Linked DNA regions of Macaca mulatta. The protein of the gene in region 1 interacts with the protein of each later gene in a pairwise test. Links are inferred from orthologs where the notes say so. Each region holds a gene or a part of one and is shown in the gene's direction. Other genes may lie near its edges. The genes, in order: CCDC33, ABCF3, EMD, BCCIP, MAGED1 and TTC19.

Region 1 (4,236 bases):
GCTTGCCTCTTTAGTCCTGCTGCTGGAGAAGAAGCAATGGCTCCCCACCCCCTCACCCTGCTGGCCTAGCCTCCTAGACTTAGCAGGCCTGAGAGGCTGGGAGAGAGGTGCTTTAGGGAGACTGGGGGAGCAGCCCCTGAGACCTTTCCACACATACACACTGTGCTGGGACATGCTGGCCCACAAGGGAGATAAAGCACAGTGCTCACAGCCAGGCCATTCCTGGTCAGGCCCCCAGTCCCAGAGCCCCAGCGGTACCACTCTTGGCAGGCCTAGACGGGGAGAAAATTAGGAGTGGGGTTCCCGACTTCCATCTCCCACCAGTGTCTGGGTGGTCTTGGCTGGTCCTTTCAGTTCTAATCAAAGACAAAGCCTCAGTTTTTCTGTCTCTAACCTGGGGAGAACCACATCCTCGCTGCTGCTCTTTCTGGAGGGGGGGTAGAGAGGGAGGCTGGGAGGCCTCTGCAAAGCAGGAGTCTTCTGCCTCCTGGCTGCCAGGCTGGTCCTGCTCTTCGGCCAGATTAAAAGAATCTCCAACATGGGGCCCAAAATAGGTAGAAATGAGGCAGGCCACAGGGGCCTCCCAAACACCTCTGACCACCACCCAGCACCCCAGATCCCTCCTCTTCTAGCCCAGGATTTCTGATGATCCTTCAAAGCCCAGTTCAGACCTCACCTCTCTATAGAACAACTCCCCACCCCAGGCCAACGACTAGCCTCTCCTCATTCTGCCATCTCACCTCACCAAAAGCACTTAGAACCCTGCCTGGTGTGCTGCAAATGCTCCACTAAAAGACATACTTTGTCTTCGTAATAATTTCTTGCAGCACTCAGAACTGAACCACAATCTTTGGTTCATACTCTAGTGCCATCACTGGCCCATCATGGCTTTCTTTAGTTGTTTAATTCTAATTTATTTTCAATAATATAATGAACTCCCATTAACTGACCACCCAATCTAAAAACCCAAAGGTTTAGAATGTATGCTCTTACCCTCTTCTCTCCCCCATCTTCCCACCCACCCTCCCAGAAGAAACCATCCTCTTGAAGTTTGTGTTTATTATTATCAAATAAATGGAAGACTATAGGTACCCAAAGAGGCACGATGGCTGGTAGATTCTTCAACAGAAGTAGCTGTTTTACCGATCAAGCTGCCACGCTCTTGAGAGCAGTGTCTGGCTTCCTCTTTTGCTGCAGTGTGAGCGGCATGGGGCTGGCCATGCCACAGGGTCGGTGGAGACTATGTGAGGCACCAAGAACAGGAAGGGTGAGGCCTGAGTGCCAGGCGGCAGGTGGAACACAGCTCCAGGAATAGGGAAAAGAGATTCGTGTTCTAGCTCACTGCACCTGGACAGGTGCCTGTGTGACTTTGGCCCTGCCCTGTGACATCACACAATGTTGCCCAGGTGACCCAGCTAGGTGGAAAAGCTCACTGCTTTTCCAGGCCTGGGCAGAGAGAGGGCTCTCCCATCTCTCCACCGTCCTGGGAGTGCCAAGAGTCAATCGCCTCGTTGCTGACCCTGTCCAACTGGCCATGGCCTGCAACCCCCTAGGCCCCTCCACCCATAGACCATCTTGCTGCTGAGAGATCGAGGACCTGCCCCCACCTGGCCACCCTCCCCCTTCCCCAACATCCAGACCCCAGGGCTGGTGTGTGGCACCCCTGAGACCACATTGACCTCCATACTGTCCACTAACCATAAGGACTCCAAGACGCCCAGGCCAACTGTCTGGGCAGGACTGATGCCTGATCACCCACTTATACCAGGTACTCGTCCCCAAGATTGTTAAACAAGGCCAGACACTCCTGGCCTCAAGAGGATGGGACTGAAAAACAAAAAGGTAAGGCCAGGGGAATGGGCCACACACCTGCATGAATCCATCCCTCCTTCAAAGTCTCTCCTTCAAAGTTTCATTTGTTCCTTAATCATGACAAAAGCTTCCCTTCTCTGGGCCTCAGTTTTCACAGCTGTGAAATGGGGAGTGAGGCGGTCTCTGTGGCTCTCCCAGGTTAGCTGCCCTATACTCTTGGGCCACGTGGGAACTGGAATGCAGTGTACTTGCGGGTGTTGTCAGTGCTGACCACCCTTACCTGCTTGTTTCTGCCCTCTTGTTGCTGGGGTCACACAGTCTGAGAGCCCACTGAGATGGTTCATTACCCCCATCCAATATCTCCCAGGATATTCCCAGGCTGCTACCTTGGCAGCCCTGATGCCCCCACTGCCCCCATGCTCTCCTAGCCCTGGCCCTGATTTTCTGGGGCCTAGGCCCCTGCCCTGGAACGCAGATGCTTGGGTCTCTGGAGAGAAGGGATTTTTGTGTGTTTTGTTCATCTCTGTATCCCCAGCACTCAGAACAGTGCCTGGCACATAGTGGGTGCTTAATAAAAAGCTGTGGCCTAGCAGCAGGGTTCTGCCAGGAAGGGACTAGAATCTTATTGCAATGAGATATAAACAGTTCAGTGCAAGGGACCCCTTACCTTCCTCTCACTAGCAAGGCAGAGCCCCTGCCCTAGATGGTGTTACCCACAGGGATACCAGAAGGAGCTGAGACCAAAGGCACATCGGTACTTGCAAACGGGGAATACCCTCTTTGTAGTTATACTCAGCTTGAATAAGCCAAATAGCTGGGGGTGCTCAGGCCTTAGTGTGATTTCCACTTTATTACCCTTGATTTTGATGTCTCTGGTTCCTGATGTTCTCTGCCCACAGCTGCCCCTGAACCTCCGCAGACTCCACCCTCCCCATTAAGACTCTTTCTGTAATGCCACACACTCAGGACCAGGCACCAGTTTGATCTGGCACCCTAAGCTGCCAGGTGGTCCCCACCTGCCCCACATAGCTGGGATTGGGGATCCAGGGAGTGTGCGTGGGAGTCCTGAGAAGGAGCCAAGGTTGCTTTGATTGGTAGCTTTGAGAAGCACTTTGATAGCTGGGTAGAATCGCCCATAAGGATGCTCATCATGGCCGGGGGGGTGGCTCACGCCTGTAATCCCAGCACTTTGCGAGGCTGAGGCAAGTTTAAGACCAGCCTGGTCAACATGGTGAAACCCCGTCTCTACTAAAAATACAAAAATTAGCTGGGTTTGGTGGGACACAGCTGTAATCCCAGTTACTCAGGAGGCTGAGGCAGGAGAATAGTTTGAACCTGGGACATGAAGGTTGCAGTGAGCCGAGATCGTTCCACTGCACTCCAGCCTAGGCAACAGAGTGAGATTCCGTCTCAAAAAAAAAAAAAAAATGATGTTGGCCAGGCACAGTGTCTCACTCCTGTAATCCCAGCACTTTGGGAGGCCAAGGCAGGAGTTTGAGACCAGCCTGGCCAACATGTTGAAACCCTGTCTCTACAAAGAGCGAAACTCCGTCTCAAAAGAAAAAAAAAAAAAAAAAAAGGATGCTCATCATGTATATAATATATATATTTGTGTTTCTTCTTTTGTGAATACCCAGTTCATGTTTTTTTAATTGGGTAATGCTTATAGGTTTCAGTGCTCTTTGTATACTACGGATATTAATCCTTTTTTAAATATATAGCAAACATTTTCTCCTTTTTTCCTTTTCTTTGTATTGCAGGGCATTTTGGATCATTACAGAAGTTTGTATAGATTTTTTAAATGTAATCAAACCTATCCTTTTTTAATGATTTCTGACTTTTGTGTCATCTTTGGGAATGCTTCTCTGCTCCAAAGAACACAATTCCTCTTGCTGCCACCAATGGATACTCAGGTTATGAGTTCAACGGGGTATCCACTGTGGAGCAGAGAAGGGACCCACATCCAAGGAAGCATGGTCAGAGCACAGCAGAGACAGCAAGAGCGTGGGGTCAGACGGACCCTGCTTCCAGTTCCAGCCCCGGCCCCACTAGCTAAGCCGTGTGCTTTCACGCAAGAGGTTTACTTTCTCTGAGTGTGCTTCCTCACCTGAAAAAGAGCTTTCCCCTGACCACCGTAACTCCCAGGCAAGTTTAGATGCCAAAGCTAGAAGGAACATGGGGAACCATTTTTAACTGAAAGTCCTTGTGAAACTGCTGGGAAATAGCCCCACTGCAGTCAAATAACTCGCCTAAATGACAGATCCGGGCAGTCAGGCACCCTGCCTCGCAGCCCAGCCCCTCTCCAGCTGGTGTGACTTTTCAGATGCAGGGTCCTTCTGGAGGGCAGAACCGGGCTCAGCTCCTCAGGCCTCCCAGACTGCTGGAGGAGAGGGGTGGCAAGGGAGGCGTGGGTGGAAGAGTTTG
Region 2 (2,611 bases), on another chromosome or scaffold:
CAGCCTCATGAGTAGCTGAGATTATAGGCATCTGCCACCATGCCCAACTTATTTTTTGTATTTTTAGCAGAGACAGCGTTTCACCATGTTGGCCAGGCTGGTCTCAAACTCCTGACCTCAAATGGTCTGCTTGCCTCGGCCTCCCAAAGTGCTGGGATTACAGGCGTGAGCCACTGCGCCCGGCTAGAGTCCTTAAAAATATTTTTTTGGTTGTTGATGGAGTCATTGGGACTGGGGACTGCCTGAGACCCCTTCTAATTTCCTTCCCTTCTGTGTTACACACAGCGGTGCTCTTTTTATTGATACGTAATTATACATGTTTATGGGGTACAGAGTGATATTTCCATACATGTATACAATGTGTAATGTTCGAATCAGGGTAATTAGCATATTCACCGTAAACATTTATCACTTTATGTTGGGAACATTCAAAATCTTCTAGCTTTTTAAAAATGTACAATCAGTCATTGTGAAGTGTAGCGTCCCTGCAGTGCTGTAGAACCCTCGAACTTATTCCTCCATTCCTCCTATCTAGCTACAATTCTGTTTTGGTTAACCAACCTCTCCCGATCTCCTCTCTCAATTCCCCTCCTCCCCGCTTACCCTTCCCAGCCTCTAGTAACCAGAACTCTACTCTCTACTTCTATGTGCTAAACATTTTCTAGTGCCCACATATGAGTGAGAACTTACAGTATTTATTTTTCTGGCACACACTGTATGACGTTTTCACATTTCTTAAGGTTGGAGAGAATGGGGCCGGGAAGTCTACCATGCTGAAGCTGCTTATGGGGGACCTGGCACCTGTTCGGGGCATCAGACACGCTCACAGGTCAGAGGCACCCCCGCCCATGAGCACACTTGCAGGCACCCATGCTTCCTGCACTCCTTCATGGCTGTTGCCTTTGTCTGCTTTTCCACCTCGGTTTCTGTCTTCAGGAATCTGAAGATTGGCTATTTCAGCCAGCACCACGTGGAGCAGCTGGACCTGAACATCAGTGCTGTGGAACTGCTGGCACGCAAGTTTCCTGGTGAGTTGGGGATTTGAGTGGGGAAAGAGGGATGAGGCTGACCCCGGCAGCTAGACCTGCCTTGGAGTGAGTGCAGAGCAGCCCTCCCAAGCCTAGATGGGGACTTGGAGGTGTGGCTGGAGGGTACAGGGAGGGAGTTGGGCCAAGAAACCACCTGATCTGGGGAGTCCTTTTCCAGGGCGGCCTGAGGAGGAGTACCGTCACCAGCTGGGTCGGTATGGCATCTCCGGAGAGCTGGCTATGCGTCCTGTTGCCAGCTTGTCTGGGGGCCAGAAGAGCCGAGTGGCCTTTGCTCAGATGACTATGCCCTGGTGAGGCCTCATTTTCTAGAGCTCTTCCCCTCCCATTTCCCCTTCTTGCCCAGTAGAAAACTGTATCAGAAGGCTTTATTTTCTCTCACCACACCCCTTCACTGCCTACCTTCCTGGGTTCTGCCTTCCAGCCCCAACTTCTACATTCTGGATGAACCCACAAACCACCTGGACATGGAGACCATCGAGGCTCTGGGCCGTGCCCTCAACAATTTCAGGGTGAGTGTGCCTTCACCCTGCCCACTCCTCCCCAGGCCTCGGTGCCTCTCGTGTCCCCCTCAGCACCTCCTGCTCTCGTGTCTTTCAGGGTGGTGTGATTCTGGTGTCCCACAATGAACGCTTTATCAGGCTGGTGTGCCGGGAGTTATGGGTGTGCGAAGGAGGCGGCGTCACCCGCGTGGAAGGAGGATTTGACCAGTACCGCGCCCTCCTCCAGGAACAGTTCCGCCGCGAAGGCTTCCTTTAGGGCTACCAGGCTGAGGACTCGCCCAGGACATGGACTGGTCTCTCAGACCCCTGGGCCACCACATAGGCCACCAACTCCAGGCCGTGGACTTCCCCCAACTTGGGGACAGCCTTATTCCCAAATGTCTCTCTCCTTTTGACTGGAGCATCTTCTGCACAACCTTGGGAGCCCATCCAAGGGTTGGTGAGGACTGGTTTCCCGGGGGCCGGGGGTCTGGGGGTACCCTCTGGGGTTATAGGTTTCCCCACTGCCCCAGCTCTGACTGGACCCCAAGTGGCTGCTATGTAAATTAAATGTCTCCCTGCATCTCCTTTGCCTCATGTCTGCTGCTCCCTGGGCAGTGGTTGCCTCCTATTGAGGGCTATGGACTCTCAGATTGGCCTTTTCCTATGGCACTTGTATCACTCACGTGGAGGAAGCAATGGCAGCACCAGCCTTGCCTCTAGAAGAAACATTGTCAAGCTGCTGGGGCATTGAGGTCATCTGCCTGCCTGACCTTGGGGTGGGCTGAGCCAGTGGAATGAAGGGCAGTGTATTGGCATCACTGCGGTGCTGTTAGCCCTAGCCTGGGCTCAGCCTCAGCTGAAGGGGTCTTGGGTTCTGCCACCACAGCCCCCACTGATGGGCAGTTGAACTGATTCTGTAACCTGGCCTCACACGTGGCTGGCTCCTTTCTCCAGTGGTATCTGGCTCCGGCTTGCCCTGCTTCTCTGCTCTCTAGACTCAGCGCTGAAGAGAAACTGTCTTTGTCCTCACTTTGCTTAGGTGATTGCATGTTCTTTATATTTCCTCTAACCATGTAGGAG
Region 3 (4,251 bases), on another chromosome or scaffold:
TCAAGGCCCTGGGAATCCTAGCCACAGTTCAGGCTCCTGAGCAGGCCTTGGCAGCCTTCCATAGCTCATCACCGACGTCTGCCCCCTGCCTAGACACGCTGCCCTCAGGGACTATTCCGACAGGAGAGGACGCCCCGCTGCAGCTCCCCCCAGTGCCCCGGGTGAATGAACGGCATGAAGGATTAGGCGGGCACACGTTGTCTCTGTACGCATCGCACGGCGCCCTCTGCCCGCGCCCACTGGCGTGCCCGTCGGCATGCCCGGGCCCCTTCGAAGGCTGCTTGCTTCTGGAGTGCCAGCGGCCTCCTGGCCCAGTGCCCCATTTCCTCCCGGGTAGAGTGAGGGAGGAGGAAGGGAAGCAGAGAGGTAGGCGGTGGGAAGCAGCAGGCACATGTGCGCGGGCGAGAGCCCTGCAGACTGGGAAGAAGGGCCCGTGGCAGGGGGTCTGCGGAGATCCCATAGGCGCGGGCCTTGCCCCGCAGCCGCTTCCCGAGCAATGCGCACACAAAGCGCCCCCGGCAGTGCCTGGCCCCGGGCCCGCGCTCTCTTAGGGTCCGCTGCCGGGGCGGCCGACCGGGATGCGGCCGGGAAACCCTAGGCTCTGGGGCCCAGGAAAGGGGGGCGACGGCGGGGAGCAGGGATGTGCAGGGACCGGGCGAAGTCCAAGTGACTTAGGGACCAGAGCCACCCCAAGCGCCGACTTCGCCCGCTCGCACGTCCCGGGTCCCTAGCGCGCAGGCCCCATCCCTCTCACCCGGCTGGCTCAAGCGCGCCACAGGGTGACGTCTTGGCTCCCAGCCGTGTCGCCCTGACTCCCGCGCGGGCCCCGCCCCCTGCCGCTAGCCAATCTATGCGTTTGTGACTTTTGGGCCCGCAGCCCCGCCTACTCCCACTGCGATACCAGTTTGCATTGCCCTGACTCCCGCGCGGGCCCCGCCGCCTACGCCGCTAGCCAATCCGTGCGTTAGTGACGTGTGGCGCCCCTCGCGGCGCGGCTTGCTCCCACCGCGAGACCTTCTGCCCCGCGCCCGCGCGGGCCCCGCCTCCTCCATCGCTAGCCAATCCCCATGTTTGTGACGTAAGGGCTCTCCGCTCCGCTCGCTCCCAACGCAAGACCTTTTGCTCCGCGCCTGCGCGGGCCCCGCCCCCTCCATCACTAGCCAATTCCCGTGTTTGTGACATATGGGCTTGCGGCCCCGCCCGCTCCCACCGCGAGACCGGTTCCCACCACCCTGACTCCCGGGGGCCCGCCCCCTCTGCCGCTAGCCAATCCGTGAGTTGATGACGTTTGGGCTCGCGGCCCCAGCCTCCCAGCTCTCAAGGCCCGGCCGGTCTGTGCCGGCTACTCCCGCCGTTAGGTCCCGCCCAGCGCAGCGCGCGCAGCCTGCGAAGCCAGCGGCCGTGACGCGACAGCGATTCGGCTGTGACGCGAGTGCGGCCGCTCCCGATGCACTCGTGCCGCCCCCGCCGTGCTCCTAGGCAGCCGTTGCTCGGCCGGTTTTGGTAGGCCCGGGCCGCCGCCAGGCCTCCGCCCGAGCCCGCACCCGCCATGGACGACTACGCAGATCTTTCAAATACCGAGCTGACCGCCTTGCTGCGCCGGTACAACATCCCGCACGGGCCTGTAGTAGGTACGCGGCGGCGGGCGGGACCCCTTCCGGGCCCCCTCCTCGTGCTCCGCCCCGCGACCTCCCCGCTGCCCTCCCCGCGCCCCTTCCCCGGACCGCGGCCCTGACCGCCCCGTGTCCGGCCAGGATCAACTCGTAGGCTTTACGAGCAGAAGATCTTCGAGTATGAGACCCAGAGGCGGCGGCTCTCGCCCCCCGGCTCGTCCGCTGCCTCCTCTTATCGCTTCTCTGGTGAGAGCCTCGCCTGTGGGGACGGCCTGGGACGCGGGGAGGATGAGGTAGCGAGGGTGTGGCAGGGGTGCCGGTCGAGAGCGGCACTGGGGAAAGGGGAGGGAAGTCTTGGGGTGGGGGTGGGGGTGGGGGGGCAAACAGTTCTGTCTCCTCCTTTCAATCCAGACTTGAATTCGACGTCAGGGGATTCAGATATGTATGATCTTCCCAAGAAAGAGGACGCCTTACTCTACCAGAGCAAGGGTAAGGCAGGGGTTGGGTGGGCACGCTGGCACCTTCACCCGACTGCGTCAGGGACCCCGCTCACAGGGAGGACCTGAGACCTCAGTCCCAACCACTCCAGCAGCCTTAGGAGGGAGAAACTGTCACAGGTCCCGAAATGGGATTCAGATTAGGGCCATCGGGCCAGGCGGGGCACACCGATGCCCCCTCTGCTACCGCTGCCCCCCTTCCCAAGGCTACAATGACGACTACTATGAAGAGAGCTACTTCACTACCAGGACTTATGGGGAGCCCGAGTCTGCGGGCCCGTCCAGGGGCTTCCGCCAGTCTGTGACTTCACTCCCAGATGCTGACACTTTCCACCACCAGGTGAGCTGGTTGGCAGGCGTACTGTACTTGGGTACAACCTAGGGGATCGCGGCTGTGTTTGGATAAATCCAGGGGGCCACTGGGTACAAATGGTGGCCCTTGGGCCTCTGGGGAGACTTTGGCTCAGCAGACACCTGTTTGGTCAGGGTCCTACTTTGGGGAGCCCTCAGAACTATGTGACTAGAGCACATAGGATGCGTCCTGCACCCTGGTCTGGGATCTAGGCTCCAGCTCTTCCTGAGAGTCCTGGGGGCAAAGGGGGGTGCTGGGGCATGAGCACAAGTAGCAAGGCCCCATGGATAAAAGGCCGAACACCCAGAGTCATTCAGGAGGGTGTGGGTCCCTGGCCTTTAACCAAAGGTCAGAGGGGACCTGCTGGGGAAATTTGAGAGGGACGTGGCAGGGCCATTGTGGCCCTGCCAGCCAGTTCCCTCACCTTGACTCTCTTCTACAGGTACGTGATGACGACCTTTTGTCGTCTTCTGAAGAGGAGTGCAAGGATAGGTATGTATGTATGGGGAAGGCCAGGGACAGGGGCTGGTTCTGGACCCAGGCTCCTGGCCCACCTGTTCCCCTCTTTTGCCTCAGGGAACGCCCCATGTACGGCCGGGACAGTGCCTACCAGAGCATCGCGCACTACCGCCCTGTTTCAGCCTCCAGGAGCTCCCTGGACCTGTCCTATTATCCTACTTCCTCCTCCACCTCTTCTATGTCCTCCTCATCATCTTCCTCTTCATGGCTCACCCGCCGTGCCATCCGGCCTGAAAACCATGCTCCTGGGGCTGGGCTGGGCCAGGATCACCAGGTCCCACTCTGGGGCCAGCTGCTGCTTTTCCTGGTCTTTGTGATCGTCCTCTTTTTCATTTACTACTTCATGCAGGCTGAGGAAGGCAACCCTTTCCAGAGGGAGCCATGAGGGTCTGGGCTTCAGAGCCAGGTCTTCTGGGGAAGTCCTGGCTGACTGCCTTAGCAGTGGGGGTGGGGGTGGGGGTGGGGGCAGGGGCAGGGGCAGGGGCTTTTATGTGTTCTTGCTTGGGGGGCGCTGGGCCTAGCCCAGAGTAGTGCTTGCTCCCCCTGCCTTGTCCCACCAGGGAGGCAGCAGATTCAGGCCCTCCATGGGGGCCTGAGTGTGCTTTCCTCGGCAGCCTCCTGGCCCTGCTTGCCTGTAACCCTTAGGGTCCAGGAGGGCAAGGCCTCGCTCAGTCAGAGGAGAACATGGTTCTTGTTGTCATGCATGCCTCCTTTTTGTCATCTTGTTGGGGGGGATTAACCAAAGGCCACCCTTTGTTTTCGTGGACACACAATAAAAACCCCATTTATTTTTAATGCGTTGGCTCTTCCTGGAGGAGAGGGTTGGGCTCCCATGGCAAGGGCCTCTGCGTCTTGGGACTCGAGGATTGCAATCTGGCTTTGTTGGGTCCGCATTTTTGCTTTGGTCTGGGGATAGGAATCAAATGCTACCCAGAGATGTTTGTGTTTTGTTTGGGAGTTTTATTCCCTAACTCATTCCCCAAAGCACCTGTAACTGCTTATACATATAATTGTGGTACAACAAGGCGTATACAGAGAACCCACTTAGAAATTCAGGCAAAGCAGCCGGGCGCGGTGGCTCAAGCCTGTAATCCCAGCACTTTGGGAGGCCGAGGCGGGCGGATCACGAGGTCAGGAGATTGAGACCATACTGGCTAACACAGTGAAACCCCGTCTCTACTAAAAATACAAAAAAGTAGCCAGGCAAGGTGGTGGGCGCCTGTAGTCCCAGCTACTCGGGAGGCTGAGGCAGGAGAATGGCGGGAACCCG
Region 4 (4,275 bases), on another chromosome or scaffold:
AACGGTAGATCTTATTCCTAGAAAGCTGATGAGCCCCGTTTCTCTTGCAATGGAAAGACCTGGCTGCCCTGGGCCACATCCCCACCTGCCACAGGGGTTGGCAGCAGAGGCGCGCGCGCTCTGCAGTTGGCCACAGTCCCCTCCACTCTTCTCTCAAAATAGGCTCGGGTCTTTAACCTAGACTACCCCCACTGGCCCCGAAGCTCTTCTTTTATCTTTGAGATGGAGTCTCCCTCTGTCGCCCACGCTGGGGTGTGGAGTGCAGTGGCGCGATCTGGGCTCACTGCAACCTCCGTCTCCTGGGTTCATGTCCGTCTCCTGGGTTCATGCGATTCTCCTGCCTCAGCCTCTTGAGTAGCTGGGACTACAGGCGCGCGCCACCACACCTGGTTGGTTTTTGTATTTTTAGTGGAGACGGGGTTTCGCCATGTTGGGCAGGCTGGTCTCGAACTCCTGATCTCAAGTGATCCACCCCTCTTGGTCTCCCAAAGTGCTGGGATTACAGGTGTCTGCCACCACGCCCGGCTAATTTTCGTATTTTTAGTAGAGTTGAAGTTTCACCCTGTTGGCCAGGCTGGTCTCGAACTCCTGACCTCTGGTGATCCACCTGCCTCGACCTCCCTAAGTGCTGGGATTACAAGCATGAGCCACCGCGCCCGCCCTCCCCGAAGCATTTTTAATTGCGGTGCCGGCTTTAAAAAAACTTTTAGGTCAAGAAACGCGCTCCAGAAGCGCGGCGAGGGTACGTTGGCCAGGCGCCTTCCGTCACCTGCGCAGCCGTAAGGGCCGCGGACCTCCCCGCCTGGGCAGGAGGTGTCCGCAGAGGCCTCGGCGCCCTGGCCCCGCTGTGTAATACACTGCCCGGGGCTGGGCCCCTGCATGCCCGCGGGCCTCGGCGTCTGTACCCGGTACCGCGGGCGGCGACACCTACCTCGCGGGGCTGGGGAGGCTCGAATGGGCTAAGAGACGGGACCGTGCCCAGCACCGGGCCTGGCACACAGCGGGCACCCAGTCTGGGGGCGGTGTCGCGCAGTCCCAGCGAAGAGGCTGCTGAGGCTGCAGGAGCAATGACAACAGGGGGTGCCACCCCCTGCCCGCGCAGCCTAAGGGGCCGCGGCGGGCCGGACCCCGCACCTCAGCCCCGGGATGCGGGGGCGGCCGCGCGCACAGCTAGGCGCTCGCGCATGCGCACCGACATCCAGGCCACGGATCGAGGACAGAGGTTAGATGGGTTGAACCATTACGGGAAGGGGAGGGGAAGCTTTGGGAGGAGTGAGGGAGGGTGGAAAGAGGAAGAAAAAAGCAAGATAGGACCGCAAGCTGGACGTAACTGGAAGGGATCATGACTGCGGAATCCAGCAGGGGCATTGGAGTTGTTGTGCACTCAGCTCCGAGCTTCTTCGTAGTCCCTCACCCCCGTGGCTACTATGGACTGATCCGGAAGGTCAGGCAGGGGGAAGCTGCGCAGGCGCAGTGTGAGCGGTAACATGGCGTCCAGGCCTAAGCGGCGGGCCGTGGAAAGTGGGGTTCCGCAGCCGCCGGACCCCCTAGTCCAGCGCGACGAAGAAGAGGAAGATGAAGTCGAGGATGAGGACGAAGACGATGACGACAGTGACGAGGAAGAGGATGAAGAGGACGACGTCATTGACGAGGTGGGAAGGACACGCTTCCCTAGTTGGTTTATACCTGAGAAAAACTTTCTGGCAAGCCCAGGCTGTGTAAAAATAGCGTAGTGACTTCCCTAACCCTGAGGGTCTGTGAGGAAAAGCTGGAGATAAGTTCTTTCTCAGGTTTCTCCTCGGTCTTTCACACACTGCAGCCACAGTGGTTATTTTTGAAAGGCCGACTCCGGTCCGGTTAACCTCGCAACCCGCGGCCCCCCGAAAAAGCCCGCCGCAACAGGTGTGTTCTCGCCCTCTTTAGTTCTCAGGCTGAAGCCTCAAATCCTGAATCGGCCACCGCGGGCCCGCAGAAGGGGCCCTCTCCCCGCAGGGCAGCAGCTGACCTCTTCATTCTGCGGGCGGCACTCACGTGGGCCCTCGGTTTCTTGAAGGCTCCTGCCGGGTTCTACCGTAGCAGCTTTTTCAGACGCTCTTCTTCATCCTGCAGAGTTTTCCCTTCTTCAGATCTCAGCTAGGCTGTATTTTCTGGCTCCTGGGGCAGCTGACCCAAATCGTAGGTAAATCTTTGGCTTCATAGTCTTATAGAACTGGGTTCTTTTCTTCAGAATAGGTCCTATAGTGCCTGGAAATATAGGTACTTATTATTTGTTTAATAAATAATTAGGACTGAATGGTCCTTCAGACCACTGAATGTGTAAATAGATACCTCAACCTTAACTTGTCCAAAGCAGATTTGTATAATAATTCATGCCCCTCTCTTAACCGTCACCGTTTCTGTAAATGGCCCCTAAAATCACCAGCTGCTCTAACCCAAAACTTTAATTCCTTAACTTTAATTCCTCCCTTTCCTCATCCTATATTCAGTCCATCAGTAAATCCTGTTATCCAGACATTTCTCAGCACTGATTATGAGACCATCGTAGTCCACACCTCCATTATCTCTTGCCTGGACTACTATTTAATATAACAGCTTTTAACCGGCGTGCTTTTCTCCATTCTTGTTTCCCTACAATCAGTCTATACTCCATCTACAGTCAGAGAGATCTTGTGGGTCTGATCTCACGCCTCTGCTCAGAGTGCTCCATTGGCTTTCTAGTTCATTTATAAGAAAATCCAGAATCCTTACGTTTGAGGGACAGAAAGGCAGCCTGGATGGCTGGATCAGAATAAGGAAGAGAGAGTGATAGGAAATAAAATCAGCGGTAACCATGAGTCAGTCATGAAGAGCATGGAGGGGAGGATACAGAGAAGCATGGATGCAGGATTAGAGTTGACACCATGACGTGTGCAGGTGATCAGTCTTTCCTTACAGATCTTTACTTTGGCTCTGTGCCTTGAATGCCATCTCACCATTTTTCACTTAGAACTTTAACTAGCTATTTTATTACTTTTGGGTTATAGAAATCAGTGCTTCTTGTGTTAACATGGGAAATCTATCAGACCACCACAGTCTTAATTCTAAATCACTTGGGAATGAGGGACAGGGCTCTTTTCTACAAACATGACTGTTCCTGCTGAAACCATGTGGAGATGAGCCCATACCCAGGAAAAGGGTGCTGGACATATACTCCATTTGCTGCCCATTTCCCTGGTGGTGCCATCATAGTCTGGGACAGAGGTCGAAAACATCTATCTAGGCAAAAAAAAGCAAAAAAACAAAAAAACACTAGATGAGCATCATTTACAGAATGTATTTATGTCTAAGGAATAAGTTTAAGTCCTGAATAATGACAATTTGTTATTTGGTTTAGTTTGATCCTGTTTGAAACACTCCCACCTGACCCCTTGTTTTGCTGCTCACATAATCTGGCTGAGTTAGCATTTGAAGTCTGCAAAGCTGGACTTAAAAGAGTTCAAATTGGAGCTGGAATTGCTTCAAAATTCCAGGGCCTTGCACATTTAACAATTAAGGAAGCCTTAGATATATATGTAGTTAGGGTGGCAAGGTAAAAGGGGGTCTGATTTCCTCTATGATGTCCTTCAGCTAAGATCTAAATTCCCAAACCATTAAAACCTGAAGTGCCTCAAAATATATTATTTCATCAGAGCCCCAAGTTCATTGTGTCACTTATCAAGGTATGATTTAGGGTCCTCAAGGACTGATCTTGTTAGTGTTTAAAAGGAAGGAGGTTTTGTTTTTGGCATTTTAGTGCCATCTTCTAGATTCTGTTGTCTTGCAGATAGAGATCTGGGAGCCCAGCTACACATTCATTCTTCTAGTCCCTTGTACTCATCGTGTCTCCTTCTGCCTTAGGGCCTTAGTTTGTTCCGTTCCCTGTACCAGGAACTCTCTTTGCCGTTTTTTGGTTCCTTGCTCAAGTGTCACTTCTTTAAGGAAGCCTTTCCTGACTGACTTCTTATTTTTTAAGTTGTTACAGCACTGTGTACCTTTGTTTTATAGCACTTACATTTATTTCTATAAATATTTCCTTAATGTCTGTATTCCTCCCTAAATCGTAAGCTGCACGAGAGCAGGATCATTTGTGTCTGCCTTACTAACCTTTTCATCTTGAGTGCCTGGCACAGTGCTTGGTACCTGGATTGGTACTTAATAAGTATTTGCTAAGCAAATGACGTGTAACCTCAAATCCATGGGCTAAGTCAAGCTCTAGACAATTCCAGGGACTTTTGAAGTGATTTTGATTTTTGCGCA
Region 5 (4,160 bases), on another chromosome or scaffold:
GTTAGATTTCAGGAGGTAAAAAGTGGTAGAAATTACTTTATTTCGTTTTTCTTTTTTTCTTTTTTTCTTTTTGAAACGGAGTCTCACTCTGTCGCCCAGGCTGGAGTGCAGTGGCCGGATCTCAGCTCACTGCAAGCTCCGCCTCCCGGGTTCACACCATTCTCCTGCCTCAGCCTCCCGAGTAGCTGGGACTACAGGCGCCCGCCGCATCGCCCGGCTAGTTTTTTGTCGTTTTTTTTTTTTTTTTTTTCTACAGGAATAAAATAGTGGAATTGTTCTCTGATACCATAAGTCAGTCAACCAATCTCTCCCACCCCACACACATACATTTAATTTTTTTCTATATTCCTCGAATGTGAGGTACCTTTAATTTCTTAAAAAATCTCAGTAAGTGTGCTGTTGCTGAATCAGTTTTTTTACATTAAGTACTACAGGGTTTCATCTGTCATTACTTTTTATGCTAACCATTTTGTAACTTTTATCTGAATAATTAAATACTTGTAACTAAATTATGTTTGAAGATTCTTAATCTATATAGGAGAAAACTTGTTTTATTAAATTTCATTTATTAGTGTTATTCATATTAGTAAAGTGTCTACTTTTTCTCTGTGGTTGTCAGAAGCTGGAGAACACCAAGTAATTTAAGATTTATTTGATTTGAGACTTTACCATAGTCAGGATATTTAAAGATATTTAACTAGGGGCACTATATGTATTAAAAGCTGACTTCCACTTTATAAAATTACAAAATATTAAAACATGCAGAAAAGTGTAAATAATAATAAAACAATGAACACTTTTGCATTTATTGCCTAACTCAATACATTTAGAAAATCGCAATGCAATTGAAGTCCCCTCTATGAACCCCCAATCACATCCTACTCCTTTTTCTCTACATGTTGCCATTATCTTCAATTCAGTATTTATCATTCCTTTGCATTTCTTTTGATTTTCCTACTTATATAAATATCACTTGAAATATATGAAATTATTTTGCTTTTTTGAACATTATTTATATGGCAGAAATGTATGCATTCTTCTACAAACCTGCTTTTTTATTGTTCATCATGGTATTTGTCAGGCTCATTAATGAATATAAAACTCATGCATCTATTTATAATCTCGTATAAAATCATAATTAAAAGTCTCACTCCATTTTTAATGTTTGACTGCTGACAGCTTTGAAGTCTTATCTCTCCCTGTTCTCCCTCTGTCCCACATCTGAGCAAGATAAGAAAGCCATGATGCAGTGTTCTTTACCACCAGTGTAAAGTTCAAACCACAGGTGAGAATCCTCACCCCAGCCCCACCCCCAACCACCATAAAAACCCAAGCCAGTGTTCTCTCCTTGCTTTATAAAGCCATGTTTGGATGTGTCTGAGAGCCACCCCTGCTCTCTGCAGAAAACCTCATTATGTGAGTAATCAGCTTTTTTATGAATGTTGGTGTGTGTTTGTTTGGTATCATTGGTGTTGACATTCAAACCAAATTTTGAACTGGTGTCCATCCCGTCTTTGTGGAGTATTCAAAAAATTATTTCAGTGTTCTTTTGTTAATGGATATTAGGTTGTTTCCTTTTTTTTTATAGTTGAAAACAATGGTTCTATGGATACTTTTTGTTTTTTCTTATTGATTTGTAGAAGTTACATTTATATTCTGGATATGGATTCCTTGTTAGTGTTGCAAATATCTGCTCTCAGTCCGTAGTTAGTCTTTTTACCTTAACGGTTTCTTTTGTAGTACAGAGGTGATGAATTTTGATATAAATTTTGATCAAATCTACCAGTCTTTTTATTTATGATTGATCTTTGTATCTTTAAGAAATATTTCTCTGATTTGGAGGTTATAAAAATGCTCTTCTAAATGTTCTAAAACCTTTAAAGTTGATTTTTCCCATTTAGGACTTTGATCTATTTATTTTTTGTTGTATAAGTTACTTCTTTTCTTGTAATGTCTTTGTCTGGTTTTTGTATCAGGACCATACTGGCCTCATAGAATGAGTTAGGAAGTATTTGCTATTCTTTAATTTTCTGGAAAAGTTTGTGTAGTACTGGTATTATTTCTTTTTAAAATGTTGGTAGAATTTGCTAGCGAAGTCATCTGACTCTTTAAAATTTCCTTGTGGGAAGGTTATACAGATGCTCCTTGATTTACAATGGGATTAAATCCCGATAAACCTGTTTAAGTTGAAAATACTGTAAGTTGAAAATGCATTTAATACACTTATCCTAGCAAACATTGTAGCTTAGCTTAGCCTACCTTAAACATGCTCAGAACACTTAATATCAGCCTACAGTTGGGCAAAATCATCTAACACGGAGCTTCTTTTATAATAAAATGTTGAATAGCTCATATAACTTATTGAATACTGTGCTGAAAGTGAAAAGCAGAATGGCTGTATTGGTGCTCAAAGTTTATTTTTTATGGAATGTATATCGCTTTTGCGCCATTGTAAAGTTGAAAGAGCATAAGTTGAACCATCATAAGTTGGGGATTGTACTAATTTAGTTTATTTGTTTCTTTGTTATTAATGTGTCTTTTTGTTTTTCCTGCATTGTTTCCAGAGTTTTTAAAAAAATCTCTTAATCAGATTGATTGTGATGAGCCTTGTAGTTTCCTTCATGTTTCTTTTGCACCAAATATGTTGATATTTTTTGATTTGGGGGTTAAAATTATCACTAAAATAATGGCAAAACCCACAATTAATAGTAACATATGAAGAAACAGTGGCTAAGAATTTTAGCTGCCTTCCTCTCCCGAGAATCATCTCCTTACCTCAGGGGATCTGCCGGGTGAAAAGTATTAATACTCCTCTCATCTTCTTTGGGGACTTTAATTACCTGTGTATTAAGTTGCTTGCCATTGTTCAACAGTCCACTGATATTCTTCATACTTCAAAAAAATTCTTTTCTGTCGGTTTCATTTTGGATGATTCTTATTTCCATTGTTTTCAAATTCTTTAATCTTTCCTTTTCCATAGTTTAATATGTCATTTATCCAATTTGGCGTATTTTTAAGCTCAGATATTATTATTTACATCTCTAAAATTTTAATTTGGGCGTCTTTGTTATAGTTTTCCATGCCTCTACTTAACTTTGTAAATGAATAGATTATGTCATAACTTTTTAAATGTCCGTGTCTGGTAACTCTAACATCTGCATCAATTGTTGGTTGGTTTCAATTTATTGATTTTTTTAAAAAAATAATTTCAAGCTTCTTTGCATTGCTGGTGATGTTTGTTTACATTCAAGCCTTGTGGATTTTACCTTGTTGGATGCTAGATATTTTTATATAACTAAAAATTTCTTGAGCTTTATTCTGGAATATGATGAAACTACATGGAAACAGTTTGATCCTTTTATGTCTTGCTTTTAAGATTGATTAGGTGGAACCAGGGTGGTGCTCAGTCTATGGAAAATTATTCCTTGCTGGCTGTTGGTAACAGGTGCTGTTCCTGTCCCAGTGTAAGTGATGAAAAGTGTTCTTTCTAGTGATTTCAAATGGTTCTCTCCCCTGCCTTGGGTAGTTTCCTCTATATACACTAATGTATACTCTGTTGAATACTCAATGGACCCTTTACAAATCTCAGGAGTTCTTTTTCTGCACTGTTTCCCCATTCTGCTAACTATTACCTGCAGATTTTAGCTGCCTTCTCACTGGACTCTGAGTGTTGTCTTCTTACCTCAGGGGATCTGCCAGGTTCTGTCTCAGTTATTACCCTTGCCTGTGGCATAATCTGAAAATTCTCTCAGGGAAGTATGCTGGGGCATTTATAGGGTCACCTTGTTTCTTTACCATTTCTCAAGGATTATTGGCCCTCACTACCTGATATCTATTGTTCTGAAAACAATTTACTTTTTAATTTTTCAACTAGTTGGGTAAATGGTCTCTGTCATTCCATCTTGCCCAGAAGTACAAGTTCAGCTGAGAGTTTAGAAAGGGTTAAGATTCTCATAAGTTTTTTATGTAGGGAATCTTATCAACTCTAAATATTAATAGTTTCCTTTATTCATTTCTAATCCTTACTCTCTTCTGCCTTCTCCTTTTCCTCCTTCCTCCTACTTCCTCCCGCACCTCTGGATAGGGTCTTCAGTATAATGAATGAAAGGGATGATAGCAGTGATTCCTGACTCCCATTATTAAAGGGGGAACACATTTCT
Region 6 (3,500 bases), on another chromosome or scaffold:
ATCATTAGCATGTTTCTTTAATGATGAGTGGACCTAGATTTGGTTTGTTAACAACAAAGTATGTGCAAGTATTTACTTCTCACATGATTGCTGTTCTGCGCTTCTAGCAGATTAATTGGTGACATGCTTTTCATTTTAAACTTTTTTTAATTTTGAGGGTGAAAGCAAAAGGGAATTTTAAAGTTTTGAAATAAGTAGGAACACAGTACTCTAAACTGAAAAACAATTTGTAATTTGCTTTCAGATGGCCAACTTAGCATTTATACGGGGTCAGCTTGAAAATGTAAGTAAATTACTTTGCAATGTCTTGAATTTGTGAAGGAGTAGCTTCAAGGGTACTGTGATAGTAAGGGTACAGGATAAGCTGCTATAACAAAGAGACCCCACAATATAGTGACTCAAACAAGATACAAGTGTATTTCTCTTTATTGTGTTAGTCCAGAGATAGGCTAAAGACTGAAGGCAGATAGACATAGGCACCATTGCTCTCTGATCCAGAAGTCCAGGTTCCTTCTAAGATAAGCCCTCATCTGCCTGGGTGAACTGCCTCACCTCCAGCCTGCAGGAAGCGGGAGAAGATGGACTGTGAGCAGCTTCCTTATAAAATATGATTTAGAAGTTCATGTTCTTTTTGCCTGCATCCCTTTGCCTAAATTTTATCATATGACCATATCTAACTTCAGGGTGTCCAAGCTGCTAAAATTGACTGAATGTTTTTTTTTAAGATAAGGTCTTGATCTGTTGCCCAGGTTGGAGTGTGGTGGCTTGATCACGGCCGACTGCAACCTTGACCTCCCAGGCTCAGTTGATCCTCCCACCTCAGCCTCCTGAGTAGCTGGGACTCCAGGCGTGTGCCACAACACCTGGCTAATTTTCTTATTTATTTATTTATTTATTTATTTATTTATTTATTGTAGAGACGGGGTTTCACCATGTTTCCCAGGCTAAATTGAGGGGACTCTGTAATCAAAAAGATGGAGAAGCAGAATGACTATTAGGAGACAGTTTGTAGTCTCTGCCACAGTGGGTTTGGATAAGAAGTTAATCTCTGAGGTTGTTTTCTGCTCATCAGAGAGTAGTTTAAGGTACATAGAGGATGCTGGGGGTCCTGATATTTTGATCTGTTTTCCTTTCAAAAGGGTACTTTTCTGTGTGTGAGTGTGCATGTGTGTGAGTATATGGGCTTTACAAGGAATGATACATCAGATTGGTACTTAGAATCCGGGGCCATATATATATAATGGGTCCCAATTAAAAGAAAAATCTTTTTCTTATGCTTTTAGGCTGAACAACTTTTTAAAGCAACAATGAGTTACCTCCTTGGAGGGGGCATGAAGCAGGTAAGGACATTGCCTAGTATTGGCCCCTCACTGAAGCAGTTTTCAGAACAGTCTTGTCTGCTGAAAACTCCTGCTAGCCCCACCATACGCTTTGGTCAGGAAAGGTGGAGTTTCCCTTCTGAGATCTGTATACAAATAGACGTTCTTTCACTAAATGCAACAGCATGTTCGCCAAGGAATTCACAGTTGGCTAATCACTCTAAAAGAATAAAGACTGTGGCTTTGAGGCCACCGTCAGTCTGGAAGTTGATCTGAAATAATCCAATTTGAATATTTGACTTGTTATGAATTCTCTTCATTCTCTTTCTCTCACAGGAGGACAATGCCATAATTGAAATTTCCCTAAAGCTGGCTAGTATCTATGCTGCGCAGAATAGGTAAGTACGGCAGCCAGGGAGTAGGACTGTGGGCAGAAAAGTTTGACTCTGGGATGTTACATAATATTCATTGCCTGCTGGTCATCTGGGTCTCCCAGAAATTGGGTGCCACACTCAAAAAGTGTTCTGTCCCTCATCTTTGGAATTGTCAGTCTTTTCCAGTTTGCCCCTCCTGTTTCCAGTAGCCTGCCTAGTGGGGCACACAGCATCTCTGGCTGCCCTGTGACAAAGCTAAGTTTTCTGTTGCTGCTTGAAGTGGGAAGGGAAGTTAGAGTTACAACTTTAGTTTAACTTTTTTAGAAGAGGAAAGAGCAGTGTGAAAGCTGCTGGGGATAATATATTAATACTCTGAAGAAGCCATTTTGCTGGTATAGATAGAGTTCAAAGATGAAGCATCTAGGATGTAAGCAGAGAACTCCTCTAGGGAGTTGTATTTGGGGTGAATTTAGGGAGAGACCTAAGACTAGCTTCACTTAGGGTTTTAGTGGTGCAGAAGTTGGTGCTAGAGGTTTGGAGTGACACGGAGCCTGATGCTGTAGAAAGGGTGCTTACCGAGACCAGGCCCTGGTACTGGTCCCTGCTGTCCTACTCACCAGCTCCTTTGTTCTCATCAGGACCTGCAGAGTCTCCTTGCATTTTGATTGGACACTAGATAGGCTAGAGCTTCCTAGAGCCTTTGACTTCATGTCTTTTGAGGAGCTTTGAGCTTGGCCTATGCCAGAGAACACTGCAGCTTGGTCAATCTTCCTTGGAATTGTAACAAACATGCCTAGTTCTTGATTGGGTATGAACTCCTAGGGTAAGAAGAAGCCCGGAGCTAATAAACGTTGTTGAATAAGACAAATTCATAGTCTTATAGACGTGAAAGCTAGTAACAATTAGCCTCTAAGTTACATGGTATACTGTACTTTTTATTTTGTTTTATTAAGACAAGCATGAGACTAGAAAAGACATGGCCAGATCTGAGGCTTCGAAAGGCTGATATAAGTTAGGAGGGGAATTGTTTGTGGACCTCTTGCTCTGACTGGGAGCATCTTGTGGGCAGCATCCACTTGCCCTGTGTTATGGCTGGAGAGGGCCCTCTTGCCAAGTTTTGAGTCTAGGGAAGGAAGGGGATGCTTCTCTTCTTCTGAGAACAGAGCAGAACAGTAGGGTCATAAGTTCTCCCCCGGCAAAGCACTAGAGAAAAGATGAGCTTTTAGTGCCACTTCTGTAAGAAACTAGAGCCAAAACCGAAGAACAAGAACCAAAACTGAGTTCCTAAATGGAGAAGGGATTTCTGTCACATTTCCTCTGCATCTCTGTAAAAAGCAGCAGTCAGCCAGCCTGCTTGGGTTAACTGAACCCTCTCCAATTGATTGAGGGTCCAGGGCTACAGAGTTGGGTTAAACGACTTCTATTGCCACAGCTAGGAGTTCCATTTCTGCAAAAGAAACTTTTATCAGAGACCTACAGCTTGAAATAAATATAAAATGACTAAAGCTCCTGAGAAGCTGTATGAGGTCAACAGTTGGAATCCTCACTGCAGGGTGGCCTGAACCTCTGTTCAGGGTAGTATTAGTTTGAACAGAGGTAAGACTTTCGCACATGGAGAAACTGATTCACTGGAGACCATCTGTTAGTGGGAGATGATGAAGACCGCTGGCTATGTCAGTTATTAAAATTAGGGCAGCATTCCTAGCTTTTTGTGTATTAAGTTATATTAAATGGATGACTTTTAACTACTTTGAGAAATGGCAGATTTGACACTCCTTAGACTTTAAACAAAGTTCCCTCTTCCCAT

What was found.
Region 2: the proteins of CCDC33 (region 1) and ABCF3 interact in a two-hybrid assay, tested with the Homo sapiens proteins (2 studies listed by BioGRID and IntAct). The two-hybrid records come from large-scale screens. The link is inferred for Macaca mulatta from reciprocal best matches to the Homo sapiens genes CCDC33 and ABCF3.
Region 3: the proteins of CCDC33 (region 1) and EMD interact in binary tests that used the Homo sapiens proteins (3 or more experiments, as listed by UniProt). The two-hybrid records come from large-scale screens. The link is inferred for Macaca mulatta from reciprocal best matches to the Homo sapiens genes CCDC33 and EMD.
Region 4: the proteins of CCDC33 (region 1) and BCCIP interact in a two-hybrid assay, tested with the Homo sapiens proteins (3 studies listed by BioGRID and IntAct). The two-hybrid records come from large-scale screens. The link is inferred for Macaca mulatta from reciprocal best matches to the Homo sapiens genes CCDC33 and BCCIP.
Region 5: the proteins of CCDC33 (region 1) and MAGED1 interact in a two-hybrid assay, tested with the Homo sapiens proteins (2 studies listed by BioGRID and IntAct). The two-hybrid records come from large-scale screens. The link is inferred for Macaca mulatta from reciprocal best matches to the Homo sapiens genes CCDC33 and MAGED1.
Region 6: the proteins of CCDC33 (region 1) and TTC19 interact in a two-hybrid assay, tested with the Homo sapiens proteins (2 studies listed by BioGRID and IntAct). The two-hybrid records come from large-scale screens. The link is inferred for Macaca mulatta from reciprocal best matches to the Homo sapiens genes CCDC33 and TTC19.

Annotation. Positions count from the first base shown.
Region 1 is NC_133412.1:52,149,562-52,153,797, forward strand, and holds the start of CCDC33 (coiled-coil domain-containing protein 33), read left to right. Parts: upstream 1-1,436; 5' UTR 1,437-1,821; coding exon 1,822-1,842; intron 1,843-4,236.
Region 2 is NC_133407.1:96,327,590-96,330,200, forward strand, and holds the end of ABCF3 (ATP-binding cassette sub-family F member 3), read left to right. Parts: intron 1-740; coding exon 741-829; intron 830-936; coding exon 937-1,028; intron 1,029-1,206; coding exon 1,207-1,339; intron 1,340-1,470; coding exon 1,471-1,558; intron 1,559-1,646; coding exon 1,647-1,805; 3' UTR 1,806-2,111; downstream 2,112-2,611.
Region 3 is NC_133426.1:160,532,518-160,536,768, reverse strand, and holds EMD (emerin), read left to right. Parts: upstream 1-1,451; 5' UTR 1,452-1,549; coding exon 1,550-1,631; intron 1,632-1,754; coding exon 1,755-1,859; intron 1,860-2,024; coding exon 2,025-2,102; intron 2,103-2,316; coding exon 2,317-2,450; intron 2,451-2,904; coding exon 2,905-2,954; intron 2,955-3,038; coding exon 3,039-3,366; 3' UTR 3,367-3,773; downstream 3,774-4,251. UniProt on the Homo sapiens protein: Stabilizes and promotes the formation of a nuclear actin cortical network. Stimulates actin polymerization in vitro by binding and stabilizing the pointed end of growing filaments. Inhibits beta-catenin activity by preventing its accumulation in the nucleus.
Region 4 is NC_133414.1:137,877,323-137,881,597, forward strand, and holds the start of BCCIP (BRCA2 and CDKN1A-interacting protein), read left to right. Parts: upstream 1-1,475; 5' UTR 1,476-1,487; coding exon 1,488-1,652; intron 1,653-4,275. UniProt on the Homo sapiens protein: During interphase, required for microtubule organizing and anchoring activities. During mitosis, required for the organization and stabilization of the spindle pole.
Region 5 is NC_133426.1:51,753,049-51,757,208, forward strand, and holds the start of MAGED1 (melanoma-associated antigen D1), read left to right. Parts: upstream 1-1,360; 5' UTR 1,361-1,371; coding exon 1,372-1,416; intron 1,417-4,160. UniProt on the Homo sapiens protein: Involved in the apoptotic response after nerve growth factor (NGF) binding in neuronal cells. Inhibits cell cycle progression, and facilitates NGFR-mediated apoptosis. May act as a regulator of the function of DLX family members.
Region 6 is NC_133421.1:18,121,214-18,124,713, reverse strand, and holds part of TTC19 (tetratricopeptide repeat protein 19, mitochondrial), read left to right. Parts: intron 1-244; coding exon 245-283; intron 284-1,283; coding exon 1,284-1,340; intron 1,341-1,655; coding exon 1,656-1,717; intron 1,718-3,500. UniProt on the Homo sapiens protein: Required for the preservation of the structural and functional integrity of mitochondrial respiratory complex III by allowing the physiological turnover of the Rieske protein UQCRFS1.